Callithrix jacchus: one gene and its partner. The protein of the gene in region 1 binds, or shares a complex with, the protein of each later gene. Links are inferred from orthologs where the notes say so. Each region holds a gene or a part of one and is shown in the gene's direction. Other genes may lie near its edges.

Region 1 (12,378 bases):
GGGGTCAGTGAGGGTTTGGAGCTAGCTCAGGGACCTTCCCAAATAAGGGACAGAGGGGCCCTGACGGGGATGGCCTAGGGTGAGGAGGGCCCCCTCAGTCAGCTGAGCCTCAAGCCCTTCCTTGGCCTGTCCCATACTTCTCACACCCCACCCTGGAGCCTGTGCTGATTTGCTGAGTGGACAGCCTGGTCGTGGGAACCAGCATGCCTGGCCAGAGCCAGCTCAGGCCCCTAAACCAGTAGGGGATTAATACCCAGACAATATTGTCACAGCCAGCTCTTGGGAACGTAGGCTCTGCCTGGGCGAGGCAGTTGGACACAGGCTTAAAGCCTTAGAGTGGACACCATATGGCTCTAGCTGCGGCCTGGTCAATTCCTACTCGGCTTTTTTTTCTTTTGGTGGAGTTTCACTTCGTCGCCCAGGCTGGAGTGCAGTGGCACAATCTTGGCTCACTGCAACCTCCACCTCCTGGGTTCAAGCAATTCTCCTTCCTCAGCCTCCCAAATAGCCAGGATTACAGGTGCCTGGTTTTTTTTTTTTTTTTTTGAGATGGAGTTTTGCTCTGTCACCCAGGCTGGAGTGCAGTGGTGCAATCTCAGCTCACTGCAACCTTTGCGTCCAGGTTCAAGCGATTCTCCTGCCTCAGCCTCCCGAGTAGCTGGGATTACAGGTACTACCCCCAGCTGCCACTGCCACGCCTGGCTAATTTTTGTAGTTTTAGTAGAGACAGGGTTTTGCCATGTTGGCCAAGCTGGTCTCAGACTCCTGACGTCATGTTCCTCCCACCTCGGCCTCCCAAAGTGCTGGGATTACAGGCATGAACCACCATGCCTGGCCTGGCTTTTTCTTCAAGACAAGGTCTTGCTCTGTTGCCCAGGCTAGAATGTAGTAGCATGATTGATCTTCACTCACTGCAACCTCCACTTCCAGGGCTCAAGTGATCCTCCCACCTCAGCCTCCCAAGTAGCTGGGACTACAGGTGTGCACCACCACACTTGGCTAATTTTTTTGTTTTATTTATTTATGTACTAATTTATTTTTTAGATGGAGCCTCACTCCATTGCCAGGCTGGAGTTTAGTGGTGCAGTCTTGGCTCACTGCAAGCTCCATCTCCCGAACTCAAGTGATTCTCCTCCCTCAGCCTCCAGAGAAACTGGAATTACAGGCACATGCCACCATACCCAGCTAATTTTTGTATTATTAGTAGAGACAGGGTTTTACTGTGTTGGCCAGGATGGTCTTGATCTCCCGACCTTGTGATCTGCCCGCCTTGGCCTCCCTAAGTGCTGGGATTACAGGCCTGAGAGACCACGCCTGGCCTATTTATTTATTTTGAGACAGAGTCTCACTGTCACCCAGGCTGGAGTGCAGTGCCACAATCTCAGTTCACTGCAACCTCCACCACCCAGATTCAAGCAATTCTCCTGCCTCCACCACCCAAGTAGCTGGGACTAAAAGTGTGCACCACCACACCCAGCTAATTTTCGTATTTTTAGTAGAGACAAAGTCTGGCTCTATCACTTAGGGCACTTAGGAGTTCAGTGGGGACATCTCGGCTCACTGCAATCTCTGCCTTCTAGGTTCACGAAATTGTTGTGCCTCTGCCTCCTGAGTAGCTGGGACTACAGCTGCTTACCACCACACCTGGCTAATTTTTCTATTTTTAGTAGAGACGGGGTTTCACCATGCTGGCCAGGCTAGTCTCTAACTCCTGGCCTCAAGTAATCTGCCTGCCTGGGCCTCCCAAACTGCTGGGATTACAGGCGTGAGCCACCGCACCCAGACTCATGACTATTTATTTAGAACAAGGAGAAAAAGCACAACATCTCAGAACAGTTTACAGCTATGTTCAGGCAAAAAAATAAATAAATAAAAGAAGAAGAAGAAAAAAAGAAAAAGCACAATAAATGACTGGAGAAATACAATTTTTTTTTTGAGACGGAATCTTGCTCTGTCACCCAGGCTGGAGCGCAGTGGCGTGATCTTGGTTCACTGCAACCTCCACCTCCTGGGTTCAAGCAATTCTCCTGCTTCAGCCTCCTGAGCAGCTGGAATTATAGGCACACGCCACCACACCTGGCTAATTTGTATATTTTTAGTAGATGTGGGGGTTTCACCATGTTGGTCAGGCTGGTCTGGAACTTTTGACCTCATAATCCACCCACCTTGGCCTCCCAAAGTGCTGGCATTACAGGCATGAGCCACCACGTCTGGCCAGAAATGCAATTTTAACTGGTTTAAGAAAAAGTAAGGAGCCTATAATCACAACCAGCCTGGCCAACATGTTGTTACCCTGTCTCTACTAGAAAAATACAAAAATTAGCCAGGCATGGTGGTATATGCCTGTAGTCCCAGCTACTCAGGAGGCACAAGAATCACTTGAAATTGGGAGGTGGAGGTTGCAGTAAGCCAAAATTGCACCCTTGTAGTCCAGCCTGGCTGACAGAGCAAGACTCTGTCTTAAAAGAATAAAAAACAAAAAGGGAAAAAATGCATTGATTCTGCAGGCCTGGTAGTAGGATTGCAGGCAGGGCTGGATCCAGCAGCTTAAGTGATGAAATCAGTTATCTTTCTCTATCTCTTTGCTCTGCTGTCCTCTGTGGGGGTCCAAGTGGGGGGCGAAAGTGGTGCCAAGCTTGTATTCTGCCAGCCAACAAGCCCAGAGAGCTTATCTTAGAACTAACAGCCACCATGATTGGCTGGACATGGGTCATGTATACATCTGCAGAGTCAGAGGATGTAGGAATCTCATCTTTTATTGATTGATTGATTGAGACGGAGTCTTACTCTGTCACCCAGGCTGGAGTGCAGTAGCATGTTCTCGGCTCACTGCCACCTCCGCCTCCCAGGTTCAAGTGATTCTCCTGCCTCAGCCCTCCTGAGTAGCTGGAACTACAGGCGCCCACCATCATGTCCAGCTAATTTTAATATTTTATAGTAGAGACGGGGTTTCACCATATTAGCTAGGCTGGCCTTGAAATCCTGACCTCGTGATCTGCCCCCTCAGCCTCCCAAAGTGCTGGGATTACAGGTGTGAGTCATCGCCCCTGGCCAGGAATCTTATCTTAACCCCAGGCATTGAGAGTGAAGGAAAGGTTCCCCAAACAGAAACAGTGCTGTTATCAGAATCTGGGAAAGCAGTGCTGGGCTGTCAGGAGCCATGGATGTGCCTTGGATTCTCTTGCAGGACAAAGTCGCGTCCTTCTCTTCCTTTCAGCACTCTGTCCCTCTGACTACAACTTCTATCCTTTATGTGGTAGGGAGAGCTCAGCTTTGAACACCTACTGAGCACCAGGTATTTTTACCCATATTTACCCCACTGGATTCTTGCTATGAAGTCACAAGGGACAAACCTGGGTTTGTAACTCCTCAGTTGCAAGAGGAAACTGAGGCCCAGAGAGAAGTGATTTGCCCAAGGCTGGCAAATGGCAGAGCTGGAGTCACTCCCAGATGCTGATGTTACTCACAACTGTATCTGTGTCCCCATCTGACGCCTCCACTATGGGGGAGCTCCCTCTTGTCTGTGCTGCTCCTCTTCCCACCCTGCCTAGCACAGGACCCCATACGCAGCAGCACCCAGGAAATAAGCATTGGACTGACCTGACTCCAAGCAGGTAGGCAGATGGAAAATAAGGGATGGAGTAAGGAGCTGAGAGGCCCCAGGGGCATCTGACCTTTAATAAAGTTCCCCTCTGTCCCTATTCTCACACTGGCTCCTCTCCATCTCAGCTTAACCCTCCTCACCTCCTCAGAGAGGCCTTCCTGCCCATCCCTGCCCACCCCCACTCATGTTTGTCTCAGCCCCTGGTCCATTCCTTCATAGCACCTTTTACTATTGGTCATTATCATGTTAATATGCCTTATGGTTTGGTCTACCCAATCTCCTTGTAAGGTTTGTGGGGACAAGGGCTGATCATGTCTGACTTGATCCCACTGGCTCCTTGACTCATGCATTGCACACAACAGTGTCTGCAAAGTCAAAGTTCTCCATTGTGGATGGCAGGTGCCACCCCTACCCTGGCAAGCACACTTTCCCTCAAACCTCTCGCCCACCCATTCCCTGCCACCCAGGGCCTCTGCTGCCACCATCCTAAGGGAAGGTTGAGCCCCTTGCTTGCTGGGGCCATCTGAGTGGGGAGAAAGCCGATGCGAACCTGGCAGTGACAGCAGAGGGCAGCAGGGCTTCCGAGCTGGCAGACAAAGCGCGTCTGTTCTTGTCCAGTGCACTTCCTGGGTTTCCATTGCAGGAAGTTTGGCACCTGCTGATAGGTGACATCGACACCTGGGCTGCTGCAGGCCAGGATGCACTCCTCCATCTGGGAGTGGTGGTGGCAGTCGAACAGGCGGCCAAAGGTGCTGGAGGCAGGTAAGCAGAGGCAGCTGGACCCTCATTCCCTTTGACCGTCCCAGAGCAGATGTGGGAGGCCTGGGTCCTAGACTGAGTCAGTGTGACCTTGAACAAAGCCCCAGTTCAACCCTTCGGTGCCCCACTCTCCCATCTGGGGGTGCAGGTGGCTCAGGGGATGTCATGGAGGTGACGGCGGGCAGCTCCACTTTTATCTCTAAAATAAACTCCTGGGTCATCAAGCACTTGGAAAGGGGTTCTACAGCCAAAAGTCCCTGAAAACCCCCAGATCACACCAGGGTCCTTCCTGTCTCTGGCGTTCGGTGTTTCCCTCCCAGTGGAGGGTATGGGGGAAGTCTCCTCCAAAGGGTACTGCAAAGCTTGGGGGCTGGGAGGAGCAGGGTATCACTGCCAAGCCAGGAATGAGCCAAGGGGGGACTCAAACAGCCTTGAGCTGCAACCTCGCCCTGCTGCACAGAACTCTCACCACCTCCAAGCCCCAGCTTCCGAATCTGTGAAGGGTGGCAGTGGTACCTGTTCCTGAGACTAGCAGAGCTGTGTGCCCAAGGACACAGCGGCTCTGGTTTGAATTCAGCTCTGTCATTTGCCCCTAGTGTAGCCTCGGGCCTCTCGGGGCCTCCGTGTCCTTGACTGTGCAGAGGAATTATCAGCCCTGGCGCCCAGGGCTCTCGTGGGATTGGGAAGGGGATGAGGATGGGCACCAGCACCTAGAAAGCCCCCACCAAAGGCAGCTGCTGGGACTGCTGCTGTTACTGCAGTTCAACTGTGAGGATCAAATGGGAAATGGGGTGACAAGAGGGATGGGAGGGGCAATGATTGGTGGGAGAGGGCAAAGGCACCCTCCTTCGAATATAAACCAGCCTCCCTCAGAAACAGTCCCAGAGCCACCCTGGAGGGGTGACTGTAGCTGTGAGGCTGCAGGAGAGGGCCAGATGCTGCCTGGCCGCCCCACAGATGGCGCTGGGTCCAGCGCTCCTCCAGACTCAGCCACTGTGGCTTTAATCAAAAGAACAATCTGCCTCTGAATCAGACCCAGATTCCTTTCGCCACAATGCTCCTGAGGGACCCAGGCGGCTCATCCCAGCCCCATCCTGGGCCCCAGAGCCAGGCTCAGCCTTCCCTCCCCCTACCGTCCTAACTGCTCCAGCTAGGAGGGAGAGGGTCACTGGAGGTGGAGGGAGGGGTTCAGCCACTGGGCCAGCTGGGCTCTGCCTTCCAGAGCTCCTGGAGGGGCCTGTCCCCCAGGACACCGGGACCCACCTGCAGAGGGCTTATACCTCAGGACAGCAGAACAAGGTGACCTGCTCCACTGGGAGGTCTCTGAGACCCCCACCCGCAGGGGCACTCCTAGAAAAAAACCCCAACCCGGCATATATTAACCTCTATTAATCACAGTCCTGGCTGTGACTGTCACCTTTTATCTTCAGGCCAACCTGGAGAGGTAGGCAGTGGCTACTCCCACTTTACAGATGAAGACACTGAGGCTCAGGAGGTGGAGTGACTGCTCCAGGTCTCACGCTTAGTGAACGGCCGCAGAACCCTGATCGGCTTGACTCGGGACCCTGGCGGATCCTAGAGGCAAAGTGGGGTGTAAGAGCTCACCTACGCGGGACAGGGCAGGTGGGGGCGTCAGCCCAGGAAAGCAAGGGAAAGGGCAGGGCAGGGACCACGAGGGGTCCATAACGGACACGAGGGGGTGGACAGCGGGGAGGGAAGGAGGCCCACCCCCACTCCCCATTCCTCGGCCCCCACACCCCTTCCCCCTAACCCCCACCCCCGGGCCTGGGCCAAGGGGGAGGGGAGGCGTGGTCCAGGAAACAAAGGGAGGGGGAGGGAACGGCGCGGGGCGCGGCCGAACTGGTTGTGGGGCGGGTAGGGGGCAGGTAAGAACCGCTTCTGCGGGGCGGGAATCCCGCGCCCCCTCCCCACCGAGCCTCACCTTTTATGGTAACGCGGCGCGGGGCGGCGGGGCGGAGGGAGCCGAGGGGGCGGGGAGGGCGGACGGGCGGAGGGGGCGGGAGGCCCCGCAGCTCCGGACTCCACTGGCTCGGGCGTCGGATCGGAGCCGCAGGGGTGCGGGCAGCCCAGGTAAGGGGGCCGGGTGGGTGAGGGAGGCATTCCTCCGTCCCTGCCCCCGTCGCACACAGGTGACAGCGCAGGCAGCGCTCGGCCGGAGCCCACCCGGTCCCCAGCCGGGAGTCCCGGCGCGGCGCCCTTGGAGGGGCCTGCGGGTGGGGGGTGCGGTCCTCACGTCCTTTGCGTCCCCGTCTCTTTTATTCTCTGTCCCCGGAGTCGGGGGTCGGCGGGTCCGGGGCGAAGGCTCAGTGGGGGCGGCGGAGGGTCGAGTCCCAGACCTGGAGCGGGCTCCGGGAACGGGCACGCTGGGCGGAAGCTCCCGCACAAAGGGCCGGCGTCCCGCACATGGATCGAATTAAAGCCCCGGCGGTGACCCCGGCGGCCTCCCTGCTCGGCTGCCTGCGAGGGCCCCGCGTTTCCGGAGCCCGGGGGAGCTCCGGGCCCCTTTCCCAGCCAGGGTCAGGGGAGGGGAGGGACGGGCCCCGGGGCTGCCCCTCTCTGGGCCTCATGCGCCCGTCGGGGGCTGAAAAGGAGCGGAGCTGGGCGATAGGTGTGTGCCCTGGGGCGATCTTGGCGTCCGCCCCCACCCGCCATCTTCCGCCCCGACCTGAGGACCCCCGGGAGAGGCTGGGGCCGCGCCCAGATTCCTGTTCTTAATGACGGTGGAAGCTACCTCCTGGTCCTGGAGGCACCCCCAGCGGAGCCCAGCCCCAGGCCCTTTTCCCGCTCAGCCGCTGCATAACCTTCTCTTTGCGCTTTCCAAGGGCCTCGACCCTGAGCCTTCTTTCCTTCTATATACTCTCAGCCGCCTTTAGGACAGGCTCATTCTCACTTTATGAAAAGAACGAGGCCAGAGAGGTTCAGTGACCTGCGCGAGGTCACCCCGCAGGAAAGAGGTGGGGCCTCTTGTGAACCCAGCTCTGTCTCCTCTGTTTCCCTGGGGTGGGAGAGAGGTTGAGGGAACCCCTCCCCAAGGCTGCTAGGTGGGAGGAGTTGGGGCACAGCCCGCCCCGTCCCCATCTCGGGCTAAGTTTAATTCCGGACCCAAAGGTAGACTGCTTTATCCAGTCATTAAAGAACAACGCTGAAGCCGGGTGTGGTGGCTTGCTCCTGTGATCCCAGCATTTTGAGAGGCCAAGGCCGGCAGATCACTGAAGTCAGGAGTTAAAGACCAGCCTGGCCAACATGGTGAAACCCTGTGTCTACCAAAAATACAAAAATCAGCCAAGTGTGGTGGCTCATGCCTGTGGTCCCAGCTACAAGGGAGGCTGAAGCAGGAGAATTGCTTGAACCTGGGAGGCAGTTTCAGTGTGCCGAGATTGCACCACTGCACTTGCCTCTGGAGCAAGACTCTGTCTCAAAAAAAAAAAAGGAAAACGCTTAGAGGTGGTCCCGGAGGTTTTCTTTTTTTTTTTTTTTAGGAGTAGGAAATGAATGGGGGTGGGGGGGTCCTGAGGTCCTGAGCTGCACATCCTCTGTCCCAAGGCTGCAGCCTCTAGCTGGTCTGGGTGGCTGGCTGGATCCCAACCTCCTTCCTAACTTTGGACAGGAAATGACTTTCCCTCCCTTTGTCCCCACTTTCTCCACTTATCTAACTGGATCTCTGATTCACCCTCTCCGGGAGGAAGAGTGAGGGCAGAGGGTCCCCTGGGCAAGGGAGACTGCCCCTGGGGAACTTACACACATCCTGCTGCTCCCGCCACACACACACACCCTGCTCCCAACTGATTGGAGGGCAGTGGGACCGGAGGGAAGCCAGGGCTCCCTTTCCCGATGGGATTGACAGGGTTTTGAAACTCCCCAGCTCAGTCCCTTCCCCTGGGGCCTGAGGTCCCTGCAGTCACTGCTTGAGAGGGATGGGGGCTGCCCAGATGTGAACATCTGGCCTCCGTGCTGGACATTTTCCGAGAAACCAGGCATATCTGACTTCCCGGAGGAGTGGAGGAAGGGTCAGGGCTGGGTGGGAGGAGGCAGAGGGCCATCTCAAAGGCCCACAGCAGCCCGGGGGACCAGCCCAGAACCTGCCGACCACAAGATTTCTGGATTGGGTCATTCTAGAGTGAGAACAGGCCTGGCAACTTGGGGGGCCTTGTGCCATCCAAGGAAGGAAAAGTGTGTCCTCTCAGGTATGGGGACACCCTGGATTTCCAGGTGGGATGATGTTTCATTAGAATTCTGAGAGCCATGGATGGCCTGGGAAAGTCACTTAACCTCCTGGAACCTCATAGGCTCCATCTGCAAAGTGGGGCCAGGATGGGCCTTTCTTGCAGCTAGATTGAGAGGCTGGTGGGTTTTGAGGCACATATAGTACCTGGCACAAGGCCTGGTGCCTTATCAGCGAGTTGTTCAGTATTTCTTTAGATCTCAGATGCACTCTGAATATTGTTGACAGAAAACAGATTCTTAAACTTACAACAAAGTGTAAAACTAAAGCCCGTGACAGCCAGCCTGAGCATACATACTTCCAGACACCATTGCCAAACCCAGAAGCTAAAGAGAAGTACTTTTAAGTAAGTTTTGAGGCTCTTTCCTAATATATTGATTTCTTACTCAGAATAAATACTTTATTATCAGACTGGGCTATATGTTTTAGCCAAACACATAAACCAACTTAAGAGTAATTCAGGAGCACTTCTTACTGTTTTTATTATCCATCAGTCACTGAGAACCCACAGTGGCCAGTGCACAAAGGACAGCCTGAAGAGCGAGATAGAAAAGGACACTTTTTTTTTTTTTTTTTTTAATAGAGTCTTGCCCTGTCATCCAGGCTGGAATGCAATGGCTCAATCTCAGCTCACTGCAACCCCCACCTCCCAGGTGCAAACAATTCTCCTGCCTCAGCCTCCCAAGTAGCTGGGATTACAGGCACCCGCCATCACGCCCAGGAAATTTTGTTATTTTTAGTAGAGACGGGGTTTCACTGTGTTGGCCAGGCTGGTCTCGAACAGCTGGGATTACAGGCATGAGCCATTGTGCTCGACCTAAAAAGAGACGTGTTTTAGCCCTGGGCACCACTGTTGCAGGCCTGGTGAGGACATCTGGGTTCACTGGACTCCCAAATCTCCCACCATGTCCCCACCTCAGCCTTGGCTGCAGAGACTACTGTCAGCAGGAACTACGTGACATATGGGAAATAATGCCCTTTCCTGACATCAGGATGTCAGGGTGCCACCATGCTCTCAGATCTGTTTTGTTTTGTTTTGTTTGTTTGTTTCAGACAGAGTCTCCCTCTGTCGCCCAGGCTGGAGTGCAGTGGCGCAATCTCAGCTCACTGCAACCTCTGCCTCCCAGGATTCCAGCAATTCTCCTGCCTTAGCCTCCTGAGTAGCTACAGGTGCAAGCCACCATGACTGGCTAATTTTTGTGTTTGTCTGTTTGGAGACTGAGCCTCCCTCTGTCGCCCAGGCTGGAGAGCAGCGGAGCAATCTCAGCTCACTGCAACCTCCACCTCCTGGATTCAAGCAGTTCTCTGCTTCAGCCTCCTGAGTAACTGGGATTACAGGTGCCTGCCACCACACTCAGCTAATTTTTGCAGTTTTAGTAGAGGTGGGCTTTCACCATGTTAGCCAGGCTGGTCTTGAACTCCTGACCTCGTGATCCACCCCTGCCTTGGCCTCCCAAAGTGCTGGGATTATAGGCATGAGCCACCGAGCCCGGCCAAATTTTGTATTTTTACTAGAGACAGTGTTTCACCACGTTGGCCAGGCTGGTCTCTATCTCCTGACCTCAAGTGATCCCCAGCCTCTGCCTCCAGAAGTGCTGGGATTACAGACGTGAGCCACTGCACCCGGCCAGATCTGTGCTTTGATGCCTGCACTGTGAGCTACCCTCTAGGCACAGAAAGAATTCAGGTACTGCTGAAGGTCACACATTGATAGTGAGCTTGTGAGCCAGCCTGTCCTGCCCTGGGGCTGTCATCTCTGTCATCGCCCTTGGCAGCAGAAACCACCCCTGGAGAGAGCCAGGAATCAGGAGGACCTTGTGGAGGAGGTGATGTTTGAGCTGGGCCTCTAAGAGAAAGCTCAAATTCACCCTGTGGGGGCAGGAGAGGAAAACCGTAGAAGAATCACTCCAAGGCCTGAGAGAGGATGCGGGAAGGATGAGTGGTCCAGGGGCTCCTTCTTCCTAAAGCCATGCTCTTTTTCTTTTCTTTTCTTTTTTGAGACAGTATCGCTCTTGTTGCCCAGGCTGGAGTGCAATGGTGTGATCTTGACTGACTGCAACCTCGGCCTCCCAAGTTCAAGCGATTCTCCTACCTCAGCCTCCCAAGTAGCTGGGATTACAGGAATTTAGCACCATGCCCAACTAATTTTATATTTTCAGTAGAGATGGCGTTTCTCCATGTTGGTGAGACTGGCTGGTCTTGATCTCCCAACCTCAGGATCATCCACCCACCTTGGCCTCCCAAAGTGCTGGGATTACAGCCATCAGCCACTGCATCTGGCCTTTTTTCTTTTTCTTTCTTTTTTTTTTTTTTAAGACAGTCTTGCTCTGTTTCCCAGAGTTGAGTGAAGTAGAAGTATGTACGTTCTAGAAACATCAATCTTTAGGGTTAGGAGGTGAGACCAGAGGCCGTGGAGCCTCCCCATCTCTCCCCTTGCCCGCTGCCCCCTGCCCAGGCCTGAACCAGGACCAGGGTTTTGGAGATCGGGTGGAGTGAGAGATTCCGGCACTAGAAGGCAAGCATGGAGGGTGCTGACTCGTGCACTGGGCTGAGAGGGCAAGGCAGAGAGGGCAAGGCAGAGCAAAATGGCCAAGGGCATGGGCTCTGGGTTCCAGTGCCACCTCACCACTGTGTGACCCTGAACAGTGACTTCTCTCTGAGTCTCGATTCTTGATGTGTTAGGTGGGTGATGATAGTGCCTGCCCCACAGTCCCTTCTGAGGGTTTATGAGTTAACGACCATAACGTGCTCAGGGAGGATCAGGTCTCAGTGAAGACAGCTCTCGCTGAGTCCTGCCCACCCCACCGCCCCCCGCCAGAGCCCAGCCCTGACACGCTGACAGATCCTAATCTGTTCTCTTTCCCTCCCAAAGTGGAGCTGTCCTGAACCTTCCGGACTTCAGCCTTTCCAGGAGAATCAGATCCCAGGTGAGGGAGGTAGCTTGGGGTGTGGCCCAGCAGGCAGGTGGGGCTCCAGGCTGGGAGCTGAAGGATCTGTTCCTTCCTCATGGGTCTTAGACTCAGGGTGGCAGCTGAGTGCCTGGTGAGGTGATCTGTGCCCTTTGCACCCCTTGGTGTGAAGGTTGGGGGGAGGGGCAGTCAGGATTTTTGGGTCTCACCCCTATGGCCAAGTACCCTGATGGGCCCCTGCCCTCCCCAGCAGGATACTCCCACCCCTTCTCTGGCTGGGCTGGGTGCTGGACTGGGTTGTTGGCATGGTGGGGTGGCTGACCTGTCTTTTTGTGGGGAGGGAGGCTCTCTGCCCTCAGGGAGTGTGTCTGTGTGTCCAGGTGGCAATCCTGTGCCATCCCCCATTCTGTCCCTAGCCACACCAGGAGCTGAAGCCATGGCCTCAAAGCCTGAGAAGAGGGTGGCGTCATCTGTCTTTATCACCCTGGCACCCCCGCGCCGCGATGTGGCTGTGGCGGAGGAAGTGAGGCAGGCGGTTTGTGAGGCCCAGCATGGCCGCCCCTGGGAGGCTCCTGCCCCGATGAAGGCACCCGGGGCTGGCTTAGCAGGGAGGCCCAGTCTCTGGACACCCACTGGCAAGGCTGCGGCCACAGTGCCAGCTGCACCTCTGCAGCTCTCCAATGGAGGTAAGAGTGGAGGGAACTTGGGAGAAGACCAGGTCAGAGACAGAAGTGGGGAGGAAAGGGCAGGCTCCAGCATCATTCATTCATTCATTCATTCAGCCCTACTAAGTGCCAGGCAGATTCTGGAACCCACTTGCCTAGGTACAAACCCCGGCTTCTCCATTTCTCAGCTGGGTGATC
Region 2 (11,772 bases), on another chromosome or scaffold:
GTGTCAGAAAGACTCCCCACTTCTCTTTTTAGAAGGGATGTCAGGGTCTGGAGTGGGAGCTGGAATCCAGGTCCACCTGAAGAAGGGGCACTGAGTGAAGGCTAAAGGAGCTGTGCCCTTTGTATCCCCATCACCTTGTCCTTGCCCCCCACTGCCGCTTGTCCCCTCCGAACAAAGAGGCCTATGAGGCAGCTCTGTCCTGCAGCTGTTCCCCAGTTGCTATTCCTTCTCCTGGAGCCAACAACCAAGGGAGGGGCTGGAGGGGGCAGCAGCTGTCCCAGCACCTCCCTAGGCCCAGCCTTCTCCTCCCCCTCTGTTTGAGGCCTGGGGTGGCCTCAGGAACTAGCTGTCTGACTCTTCCCACTCCTTTGGGGGTATCCCTAAGGCAGATGGAGAAATGCTTGGTGGGCCCTGTTGGCGCTGAGCTCCTCTCCTCTGCCTGGCCCTCCAAGAGGGAGGAGGGAGAGGGAGGTCATTGCTCCCAGAGTGGGACTTGGAGCCCCACTGCCCTTCTTCTGCTCCAGGCCTGGACCACTTGCTGTCTGGCCCAGGGCCAGTTGCTGGGGAGAAACCTCCCTCTCCAGCAAATATGAATGACCGCCCTCCCCATATACATACTCCTTCCAACTCCTGCAGCCTCAAGGCTTCCTGCCCAGGGGTCTGGCTCCAATTTGCAAGAAGTACTTCTGGGCTTGTGAGCACTGGCTTTGGAGGCTGCCGGGGTTGTGAGAGGCTGGAGGCCCTGGGGCATCAAGACTGTGTGAAAGTGTCAGAGCCTGTGTGTTTGAGAGAAAGCACCGGGAGGCAGCGAGTGAGTGTGTCATGGAATCTGAAAGCTGCCAAACCATTGTGCTGCAGTGGATCCAGGGGAAGGGGGCGGGCTGGGGAGCTGCTGGGGAAGGAAGGATGAATCAGTGACAGGGTGGGGTAGCCCAGGAGGCCAGAGCCCCAGCCAGAGGGACAGGGAGACTGAGGTAGCCCTCCCGGGGCAGGTGGGAGTGGGGCAGGGGATGCCCTGGATTTCTCAGGCACTGCCCCAGGGTCTGGGGAAGGGTGGAGGGGAGAAGAAGTGGGAGGGGAGACCACTCCACCCTCTCCCATCACTCGGGCAACATCAGTAAACAAGACCGAGTCTCCCACCCATTTCCAGCCTTCTGAAAGCAGTGCTTTGGGAAGCTGATAGATTTCAGAACTTCATTGCCCTTTACAAGTAAGCTGAATTCCAAAGATCTGTCTACTCTCTAGGCCACCCCAGGCTTCTGGATATTTCTTTCTGATTGTCAAGGGGGAATTAGCGCCCCCTCCCAAATCTTGAGGAACCAGTTCTGACTCAAAGGATTCCTCAAAGGAGGTGAGGGGTGGAGTGTGTCAGCTCCTGGAGCCCCTCCGGCCCCCAGCCTTTGACAACGTGACTTCCAAGCCTTAACTGAGAATGTACTAGACCCCACCCACCCACCCCTACCCTGCTATCAGAACCCCTTGGTTTCTAAAGCTCTTTCTGGCATTCAGGGTAGAATCTGAGTGGAAGCTGGTCCTACTCCACTCCAGTTTAAAATATTCATTCATTCAACCATTATTTATTGAGTCCTTACTAAGTTCAAGACCTTCATTGTAGAAAGATAAAACCTAGTGTCTAAAGTGAAAGCAGACAAAAAAAGAGAGTATAGAATGTGTGATTCCACCTATATAACACACTAGGAAATACAAAGCATCTATCGCGACAGAAAGCAGATTAGTTGTTGCTTGGAACGGAACGACAAGGGCAGCAGGAGAGAGCGCTCACAAAGGGGTGTGAGCAAGGCAACTTTGGGGAGTGATGGATGGTACCTTTATTATTCTCGATATGTGGTGATGGCTTTGTGGAGATATCCATAGTGTCAAAGCTTCTCAAACTTCACTTCCTAACGTGTGCAGTTGACGTAGCGTGTATGTCAAGCATACCTCAGTAGAACTGTTAACAATACAAAAAGGCTCTGCCCTGGGAGCCTTATAATTCCACAAGGCCAGACAGAAACCAGATAAGTACACAGACAGGAGGCAGACTCACGTGCTATAGCAGAGGTGAGGGTAGCTTCCAGAACCGCAGGAACACAGAGAAGCGGCCTTCTGACCGGAAAGGCCCCGTAAAGGACTTGGCATCTGAGTGGCGCCTCTCAGGAGGGAGAGGGATGGATAGCAGAGACGAGAGACCTGACCCCAGGGCTCTGGCTGAGGAGCTGGGCAGGTGAGGTAGGGAGCCCTGGGGCAGGAGAGGGTGGGGTGACTCTAAGCCTGCCTGTGCCCTCCCCTCTGCAGACAGCAAGGCCATCGTGGATGGGAACCTGAAGCTGATCCTGGGCCTGATCTGGACGCTGATCCTGCACTACTCCATCTCCATGCCCATGTGGGAGGATGAGGATGATGAGGATGCTCGCAAACAGACGCCCAAGCAGCGACTGCTCGGCTGGATCCAGAACAAGGTGCCCCAGCTGCCCATCACCAACTTCAACCGTGACTGGCAGGATGGCAAAGCTCTGGGTGCCCTGGTGGATAACTGCGCCCCCGGTGAGTGGGCCAGCGAGCACAGCATGGAGCCCTTAGGTCTCAAAGACAGAGGGGCCGAGCTGGGGCTGCCAAGGCCCGTGGTTGTCAGGATGCACACCCAGGGGCCTGGAAGGCAGGATTCCTGCGGGGTTTGCCCTCCTCCAGCTGCGGCTGTCTGCTGGTGGCAGGCCCTACCTGAAAAGTGTGCCAGATTTCACAGAGCCGGGAGAGGTTATTTTACCCCTTATTTTACTGACAAGGACACCATGGCCCAGAGAGGGCCAGTGACTTACTGAAGATCACACAGCTTATCCATGGCAGAGCCACCTAGAGCCCAGGGCCTGGACTCTCTGCCTCGTGAACTTTTCACTGTGCCACAAGGCACTATTCCTGCCGAGCTGGGAGACAGACAGTGTGGTGGGACTTGTAGTGAGACCAAGAGTTAGACCCAGAGAAGTCTCTTCTCTGGGAGACCCTGGGATGGCTTTGACAAGGGGTTGAGGCTCAGGCTGATGTGTGATGAGGTCAGTGGGGTACTGCCCAGTAGCAGGTGACCCAGCCTTGCCCCTTCTCCATGTAGGTCCTGGCCTGGTCAAGTGAGGGGAGCTCAGGGGCCATAAAAAAAACCCAGGCATCACTAGCTAGAGGATATCCCATGGGCAGCTCCCTTTCTGCCCCTCATTTCCCGAAAAGATAGGCTTTCTCTGGGAGTCGCAGGCCCTTGGACAATCCTCCTCTACCCTGGGGTCAGCTGGGGAGCAGGGGGTGGGAGGCGGGGGCACAGCCTCCCGGGAAGCATTCCCAGCTGCTGAGCCATGGCCCATAGCTGGTGTGGCTGCCAGCAGTGAGCTCAGCTGTTCCAGCTAGTCATGGATTCCAGCCTTGAGCCGGCCCCCTCCCCGAAATGTGTGCTGTCCCCCTCCTCCAGCTTTGGCCTGAACCAAGCACGCTGTCACCTGCACCCTTCATAGGAGTGATCTGGGGCTGCCTCGGCATCCTTCCTGTTAGGAGGGCAGGGCTCCTGAGGGCTGCAGAGGAGAAGTCGTTCTCTCCCCACAGGGGAGATGCCTCAGTTTCCCTATGTGGGCAGTTAGAAGGAATAGGGAGTCTTATGCCCTCAGACTGGTATAGAAAGTGCTTGGAGATCTAGGGCTTCCGAGTAGGGTGAGGAGGCCTTTTAGGGAATGTCAGGGGCGTATATGGGACAGGCACTCTGACCTCCTCTGCCTACCCTGAGAAAGCTGAATGAGCAAGAGATATCTGAGAGGGGTACCTTCCCAGGGTTTGGGCTTCAAGGTCTGAGCTGGGGCCTGGGCAGGCAGGAGGCCGGCCAGCAGGGCTGGTGCCAGGCTGCGTCAGCCGGGGCAGAAAGGCCTCATTGTTGGTGGTGGGGAGGGCTGTCGTGCCCCTATGTGGTGAGGGGCCTCACAGCTGATGGGGTCAGCAGGAACCTGGCTGGTCAGGGCCTAGAGCTGGTGGGAAGGGGCGTGAAGCCACAGGCTCCGAGGGTGTGGGGTGAACAAATGCTCTGCATCCTGGCCGGCTGGCTGTCCCTCACCATCGTCTCCCTCCATCACCTCTCCAGGTCTCTGCCCTGACTGGGAGGCCTGGGATCCCAACCAGCCTGTAGAGAACGCCCGGGAAGCCATGCAGCAGGCTGACGACTGGCTTGGGGTGCCTCAGGTACACACACAGATGGGGCAGCGGGCAGGGGGCAGGGGCAGAGATTGGGTCTGTAAGGATACCTGGCCAAGGTGCAGGGGGACACTGGGGCTGCTGGGAAAAGAGGGCGCCGTGTGACATCAGTCCCTTCCGCCACAGGTTATCGCCCCTGAGGAGATTGTGGACCCCAACGTGGATGAGCATTCTGTCATGACCTACCTGTCCCAGTTCCCCAAGGCCAAGCTCAAACCTGGTGCCCCTGTTCGATCCAAGCAGCTGAACCCCAAGAAAGCCATTGCCTATGGTCCTGGTACGTGTGAGCCCCTGGTGGCCCTGCTAGGGGGCTGGGCACACAGAGGCTCCCTGAGTAACCTGGGCTCTGCTCCCGCCCCGCAGGCATCGAGCCACAGGGCAACACCGTGCTGCAGCCTGCCCACTTCACCGTGCAGACGGTGGACGCCGGCGTGGGCGAGGTGCTGGTTTACATCGAGGACCCCGAAGGCCACACCGAGGAGGTATGCAGAGGCTGCCGGGGACAGAGGAATTTGCTTGGGATTGGAACCAGAGAGTGTAGGGCCAACAGTAGAAATGGCCCGGAAGTGACTGCCAGAGCTACATACTGTGCTGTGCAGTCTGGAGAAGGCGTCGCCATGGGGGTTTCGTGGGGCTGGGGTGCTTAAGGCGCTGTGGGGTCAGGAGGGACTACAGTCATTGGAGAGGCTTCCAATCTTTGTCCTTCCCAATAGGCCAAGGTGGTTCCCAACAATGACAAGGACCGCACCTACGCTGTCTCCTACGTGCCCAAGGTTGCTGGGTTACACAAGGTATCTCCCTTGAGGCCCCCTGCACGTCCTGCTGTTCACGTCCTTGGCTCCGGCTGCATGGACCCCTCTCTCAGTCTGCATCTCGCCCCTGGCTGCTTGCCTCTCACCCTCCTTGGCGTGGCTGTGCCCCTCTGCCCCATCTCGGACGGCTCTCCCCTAAAAGCTAACCTTTAACCTCTGACCCCAGGTGACCGTGCTCTTTGCTGGTCAGAACATCGAACGCAGCCCCTTTGAGGTGAATGTGGGCATGGCCCTGGGGGATGCCAACAAGGTGTCAGCCCGTGGCCCTGGCCTGGAACCTGTGGGCAACGTGGCCAACAAACCCACCTACTTTGACATCTACACTGCCGGTAGGATGGGCCCCAGGGGGTGCAGGAAGAAAGCCTCTGACGGTGTGGGGCTGTGTGTGGGGGGCTGGGTGGGGATACCAGCCAGAGGGTGACCAGCCTCAGGGTGAGGGCACCGGGGCAGATGTGTGTGTCCAGAGTGGTGCTGATGGCCTCTGTTTGTGGCAGGGGCTGGCACTGGTGATGTTGCCGTGGTGATCGTGGACCCGCAGGGCCGGCGGGACACAGTGGAGGTGGCCCTGGAGGACAAGGGTGATAGCACATTCCGTTGCACATACAGACCTGTCATGGAGGGGCCACACACTGTGCATGTGGCCTTTGCGGGTGCCCCCATCACCCGCAGTCCTTTCCCTGTCCACGTGGCGGAAGGTAAGGGTTCCTCACCGCTCCCCACGGTAGCTCTCACCCAAGCCAGGATGCAGAGAATTGCCAACAAGTTCCAGGCCTGAGGACTGGGGGGACATGAAGCACTCACACCGTGGGGCAGAGGGGCGCAGCTGCCTGAGGCTTGCAAGGGACAGGAGGAAGAGCTGGGGAGGGGCTCTGCAGAGACCCCCTCTCTGAGCCTTCCACTTCACCCCCAAGATGGCTGGAGTCCCTAAGAATAGGGATGGGGGCCATACTGAAGGGTCTCAAAACACATTCCATCCTGGGAGGGCTGAGTGGAAGTGATGGGGCCGTACGGGTGGGGGTGTATCTGGGGAGTGCTGCCCGCACACCGGGCCCTCGGGTGATGACTGCCCCACTTGTTCTCTCCCTGCACTCAGTGCCCATCATCCACCAGGCCAAGAGAGTGGTGCCACTTTAGTGCTCTCCAGTGGAGGCGGGGCCGGGCCTGGCCGTAGCTGACTGGCCTTACCTGTGCTGTGTGGCATGACCCGGGCAGTGTGGAATCGCCCCCTTCCGTGGCATTCTGTGGCAGGCCCCAGGTTCCATGGTGTTTTCTGTGTTCTGTGGCAGGTCTAGTGTCTTTGCCACTTGCCTGATGATTTCTGTGATGAAATCTGGGTTCTGAGGCATTGCCTGTGTTCTGTGGTCCCCCTTGGGTGGTGCCATCGCCTATGGTCATGGTAGTTCTGGAATATGTGTCGTCGTGTTTTGTAGCACCCGTGGGTTCCATGCCATTTCCTGGATCCTGTGGCAGACTGAGATTCCCATTCCTTTGCCTGTGTTCTGTGGCAAGGTCTGGGCTCATTGCCACTGGCCACCGTCTGTGGGAAGCTGATTTCCACACATCGCCTGTGTTCTGTGGCATGCTTCACGTTATCTGAAGCAGCTCTTGTTCCACGGCATTGCTGAATGTGTTGTGGCATGACTTAGATCCTAAGGTTGCTTTGGTGTTCTGAGAGGGCATGGAGGGCTCTAGAAGCCTTGGGGTGGGTAAAGGAGCCTTCCCTGTCTCTTTGAGCCCACTCTCAGCCTAGCTCTGCCATGCATTTCCCCAGTGGCATTGGCTCAGAAGCTTTCTTGTGGTCTGTCTGGTCTGGGACCTGTAGCCAGCTCCAGCCCAGCAGCCCCTGTTGTGTTGGGGGCACAAAGGGCTCCAGAGCAGGGCTGTGGGCTTGGGGCCTATGCCTGGGAGGGGTTAGAAGGACTGTGCCCAGGGAGATGGGGGCTGAGCCTCTGTCCAAGGCCCCTCAACACCCCCAACCTCCTCTCTCCTCTTCTCCCAGCCTGTAACCCCAATGCCTGCCGTGCCTCTGGGCGAGGCCTGCAGCCCAAGGGTGTTCGTGTGAAAGAGGTGGCTGACTTCAAGGTGTTTACCAAGGGTGCCGGCAGCGGGGAGCTCAAGGTCACAGTTAAGGGGCCAAGTGAGTGCCAGAGCCCAGGGTCATGGGGGTGGGGCTGGGGGAATCAGGGAGTAAATATGGCCAATGGTTCTGCCTCCCAGAGGGCAGTGACAGCCAGCACCACAGCTCCACAGTCACCAGCGGCACCCCAGAATCTCACACACATTGTTTCCTCTCTGCTTCAGTTTCTGAGTCTGCAAGCCAGGAATGATTCTCTCCACCCTAAGTGCTGTACGGGGTGTTATGCACGGGGATGACAAGTGGTACCTGCCCTGAGTTTGAGCATTGCCCACTAGAGCACTGCCTTCGGGCTGGGCCAGGGTCCCAAGAGCTCCTTGAGGGGATTGAGGAGCTGGGACTTCAAGGATATTGATCTGCCTTCTCCCCCACTCCACCCCCACCTCCTCAGAGGGCACAGAGGAGCCGGTGAAAATTCGGGAGGCTGGGGATGGTGTGTTCGAATGCGAGTACTACCCGGTGGTGCCTGGGAAGTATGTGGTGACCATCACATGGGGCGGCTATGCCATCCCTCGCAGGTGAGTACCTTGAGTCCCCCGTGCTGTCCCATCTAGGCCATTACGGGAAGGGATGAGGGGCAGCAGGCTGCGGGGGAGTTTGAGGGGAGATGAAGGGGGGGCCTTGGAGGGTCACTTCCTGGCATGGACACCAGCTCCCTCTCTGCCTAGCCCCTTTGAGGTACAGGTGAGCCCAGAGGCAGGAGTGCAAAAGGTCCGGGCCTGGGGTCCTGGTTTGGAGACTGGTCAGGTGGGCAAGTCAGCTGATTTTGTGGTGGAAGCCATTGGCACCGAGGTGGGGACACTGGGTAAGTAGCTGGGAGGCAGGAGGAGGAAGTGCTTGGGGGAGGGTGGCGGGGGTCACTGGGGATAATGGGTGCAGTGCGCATGCTGGGGAGCCCTGGGGTGAGCAGGGAGCTCAGACATGAGGGAGGCCAGAGGAGAGCTGGGGGATGGAAGGGTCTTGCCAGATGTTGGACCCACCAACCCTCCCCCACTTTGCCCCAGGCTTCTCCATCGAGGGGCCCTCACAAGCCAAGATCGAATGTGACGACAAGGGGGATGGCTCCTGCGATGTGCGGTACTGGCCCACAGAGCCTGGGGAGTACGCTGTGCATGTCATCTGTGACGATGAGGACATCCGAGACTCACCCTTCATTGCCCACATCCTGCCTGCCCCACCTGACTGCTTCCCAGATAAGGTATGGTCCCAGCTCTGGTACAATGCTCCAGGGGTTGGGCGAGCTGGTTCTCCTCCAGTCCCCAACCCAGCCCTCTTCCCTCTGCACAGGTGAAGGCCTTTGGGCCCGGCCTGGAGCCTACTGGCTGCATTGTGGACAAGCCTGCTGAATTCACCATTGATGCCCGTGCAGCTGGCAAGGGAGATCTGAAGCTCTATGCACAGGTGGGGGACTGCCCAGTCTCTGCAGCCCTTACTACCCATGGCAGGGACCCTGGAAGGCAGGGCCAGGCCAGAGGCAGAGGCCTCCCAGCAGGAAATGATAGTGTCACAGAAGATCAGGCAGGACTGATTCACATGGGCCCATCAGTACCATGGAAAATTTTAAATTTTGTGTTTTCTTATAGATCATAACCTAAAAACGTATTTCACCAAAGAGTCACTTGTGCTAATTTGTAATTGAAAGATTGTTTCATTGAATAAGACATTGGTTTCTCAAGTCACACTGGTGTCCATTGACCCCTGGAGGTTAATGAACATATTCTTGAGGATCTAAGAGGGTGGTTCTTCTTTAAAAGGCCCATTATTCAATGTTAGGAACATAAATTTAGCCCACATTCTTCCGGTCCAACACATTTCAGAGATGAGGAAACCTAGGCTGGGAAAGCAAGCCACACAGATGGCCTTGAGCCATGCCTCCAGGCTCCTAGGGTGGGCTCTGGCCACCAGAGCACATGGGCCTGGGCTCAGGTGGCTTCAGTGGCTGGTGTGGGGGTGGGGAGTGCCAGCCTGTTGGCTGTGGGAAAACAGGCTCTGGGTCCACCTGTGGCCAGCAGAGGGTGCTCTGCAGAGGCCACAGCTGTGATCTTTGTTCCGGTGATGCCCACAGGACGCGGACGGCTGTCCCATCGACATCAAGGTGATCCCCAACGGCGATGGCACCTTCCGCTGTTCCTATGTGCCCACAAAGCCCATTAAGCACACCATCATCATCTCCTGGGGAGGCGTAAACGTGCCCAAGAGCCCCTTCCGGGTGCGTCCTCCCAACCTGCCCCGTGCCCACTGCCAGGGGTCCCCAAGGGAGGGTGGACCCCTCGCTGGAGCCCCTGGCTGTCCCTGGGCTCAGGCTGGAACTGAGGCTTGGGCTGGTGCCGCTGAGGCTGGGCCAGGTATGCTGGGCAGAAAGATGAACCTTGAGGAAGGGGACCATGCTAAGCTGAAACCTCCCCCCACCCCCACGCAGGTGAACGTGGGCGAGGGCAGCCACCCTGAGCGGGTGAAGGTGTACGGCCCTGGCGTGGAGAAGACGGGCCTCAAAGCCAACGAGCCCACCTACTTCACCGTGGACTGCAGCGAGGCGGGGCAAGGTGCGCCCAGGCAGAAGGGGTGGATTCGGTTGGGGTGTTGGGCGGTTGAGGGGAGTCTGAGCCCTACTCACAGCGGTGCCCGCCTCCCTGCAGGCGACGTGAGCATCGGCATCAAGTGCGCCCCCGGCGTGGTGGGCCCTGCAGAGGCTGACATCGACTTCGACATCATCAAGAATGACAACGACACCTTCACGGTCAAGTACACGCCCCCAGGGGCCGGACGCTACACCATCATGGTGCTGTTTGCCAACCAGGTACTCAAGCCCCTGGGTAGTCACAGCAGCCTGCACCTCTCAGCTTTAGAAGGCAGCTGGAGATGCTGTCACTTGGGGTAGGGAGGGATTATTTCACAGACATGGTGGAGCCCTTCCCATGTGAGGCAGGGTGCTGAAGAGAAAGCAAAGGGAGCTCTTTTGGGGGCTGCCCCTGTCCTTGCTGGGTCCCCTGGGGCATCCTGTGCCAGCACCTAGCGCAGAGCAGGGGTGTGGTCCCCTCAAGAGCCCTGACTGAGCCTCTTCCACATCCAGGAGATCCCCGCCAGCCCCTTCCACATCAAGGTAGACCCATCCCATGATGCCAGCAAGGTCAAGGCTGAGGGCCCTGGGCTGAATCGCACAGGTGGGTGTCTGACCAGGGGCTGGGGCTGACTCAAGGTTGGGGTTAGGTGGCTGCCAGGCCCTTGCCACATCTCTGCGTGGCTCCCCAGGTGTGGAAGTTGGGAAGCCCACACACTTCACGGTGCTGACCAAGGGAGCCGGCAAGGCCAAGCTGGACGTGCAGTTTGCGGGGACGGCCAAGGGCGAAGCTGTGCGGGACTTTGAGATCATTGACAACCATGACTACTCCTACACCGTCAAGTACACCGCTGTCCAGCAGGTGCGCTCTGCCCTCCCACGACCCTGCCCGGCCAGGCTGCCGGAGCCCTGGGTTTCCCTTCTCCAGTCCCATGGGACCAGTTCTGGCTCCTCCGTGCCTTCCCTGCCTCCTGCCGTCACTCTTGGTGGATCTGAGCTTCAGATTCACCATCGGGTTGCTGCAGAACCGTGCCTTACACCCCGTTCTGACCTACTGTTGTACCCAACAGGGCAACATGGCAGTGACAGTGACCTATGGCGGGGACCCTGTTCCCAAGAGCCCTTTTGTGGTGAATGTGGCACCCCCACTGGACCTCAGCAAAATAAAAGTTCAGGGCCTCAACAGCAGTAAGTGAGGCAAGAGCCACCCTGGGAATGAGGGTTGTTTGGGTGGGGTAGACCAGTTTCCTCATGGTGTCACTTGCCCTCCATGCAGAGGTGGCCGTGGGACAGGAACAAGCCTTCTCTGTGAACACACGAGGGGCTGGCGGTCAGGGCCAGCTGGACGTGCGGATGACTTCACCCTCTCGCCGGCCCATCCCCTGCAAGCTGGAGCCGTGCGGGGGCATGGAAGCCCAGGCTGTGCGCTACATGCCCCCCGAGGAGGGGCCCTACAAGGTGGACATCACCTACGACGGCCACCCAGTGCCTGGCAGCCCCTTTGCTGTGGAGGGTGTCCTGCCCCCTGATCCTTCCAAGGTGAGGAGACAGGAGCTGGTTGGGGCTGGAGTTGGGGACTTGTTGGGAAGATGGACGAGTCACAGGGGCAGAGGCCAGACGGACTGTGTGCCTGGAGCGGGCACAGCCAAGGACATGGGGGCCAAGGCCAGCCCCACCCCACCCCCTGCTTTGAAGACAATTTAGCTATTAAGAGCCTGGTCTTGGAGTCAGACCTGGGCTAGAATCCCAGGTCCACTAACTGGGACAGATTGCTGCATCTCGCTGCCTCCAGGTCGTCACCTGGAATTATTATAAGCACTCAGGCCGCAGTAGCAGCCACAGTTGGAGGTGATGAGCTGGGGGGGCCCTGTCTGGGATGGGTAGGCCAGGTGCAGAGAACCCACATACCTGCCTCTCCTCCTAGGTTTGTGCTTACGGCCCCGGTCTCAAGGGCGGACTGGTCGGCACTCCCGCACCATTCTCCATTGATACCAAAGGGGCTGGCACAGGTGGCCTGGGGCTGACCGTGGAGGGCCCCTGCGAGGCCAAGA

Evidence for each region.
Region 2: the proteins of FBLIM1 (region 1) and FLNC are in contact, whole or in part, in an NMR structure (PDB 2K9U), measured with the Homo sapiens proteins. The link is inferred for Callithrix jacchus from reciprocal best matches to the Homo sapiens genes FBLIM1 and FLNC. Residues at the interface, in NP_001337080.1 of Homo sapiens: Arg8, Val9, Ala10, Ser11, Ser12, Val13, Phe14, Ile15, Thr16, Leu17, Pro19; in NP_001449.3 of Homo sapiens: Thr2339, Ala2344, Gly2345, Gly2346, Leu2347, Ser2348, Ile2349, Ala2350, Val2351, Glu2352, Gly2353, Pro2354, Ser2355, Lys2356, Ile2359, Phe2361, Asp2380, Glu2382, Phe2387.

What each region holds. Positions count from the first base shown.
Region 1 is NC_133508.1:53,089,846-53,102,223, forward strand, and holds the start of FBLIM1 (filamin-binding LIM protein 1), read left to right. Parts: upstream 1-4,271; 5' UTR 4,272-4,366; intron 4,367-5,865; exon of another isoform or gene 5,866-5,986; intron 5,987-6,214; exon of another isoform or gene 6,215-6,249; intron 6,250-6,400; exon of another isoform or gene 6,401-6,454; intron 6,455-11,478; 5' UTR 11,479-11,533; intron 11,534-11,931; 5' UTR 11,932-11,951; coding exon 11,952-12,201; intron 12,202-12,378. UniProt on the Homo sapiens protein: Serves as an anchoring site for cell-ECM adhesion proteins and filamin-containing actin filaments. Is implicated in cell shape modulation (spreading) and motility.
Region 2 is NC_133512.1:118,339,757-118,351,528, reverse strand, and holds part of FLNC (filamin-C), read left to right. Parts: intron 1-2,295; coding exon 2,296-2,544; intron 2,545-4,108; coding exon 4,109-4,206; intron 4,207-4,344; coding exon 4,345-4,495; intron 4,496-4,581; coding exon 4,582-4,700; intron 4,701-4,931; coding exon 4,932-5,009; intron 5,010-5,196; coding exon 5,197-5,359; intron 5,360-5,524; coding exon 5,525-5,725; intron 5,726-7,029; coding exon 7,030-7,167; intron 7,168-7,555; coding exon 7,556-7,682; intron 7,683-7,832; coding exon 7,833-7,969; intron 7,970-8,168; coding exon 8,169-8,362; intron 8,363-8,451; coding exon 8,452-8,565; intron 8,566-9,229; coding exon 9,230-9,373; intron 9,374-9,583; coding exon 9,584-9,707; intron 9,708-9,800; coding exon 9,801-9,961; intron 9,962-10,234; coding exon 10,235-10,325; intron 10,326-10,413; coding exon 10,414-10,583; intron 10,584-10,791; coding exon 10,792-10,909; intron 10,910-10,997; coding exon 10,998-11,260; intron 11,261-11,645; coding exon 11,646-11,772.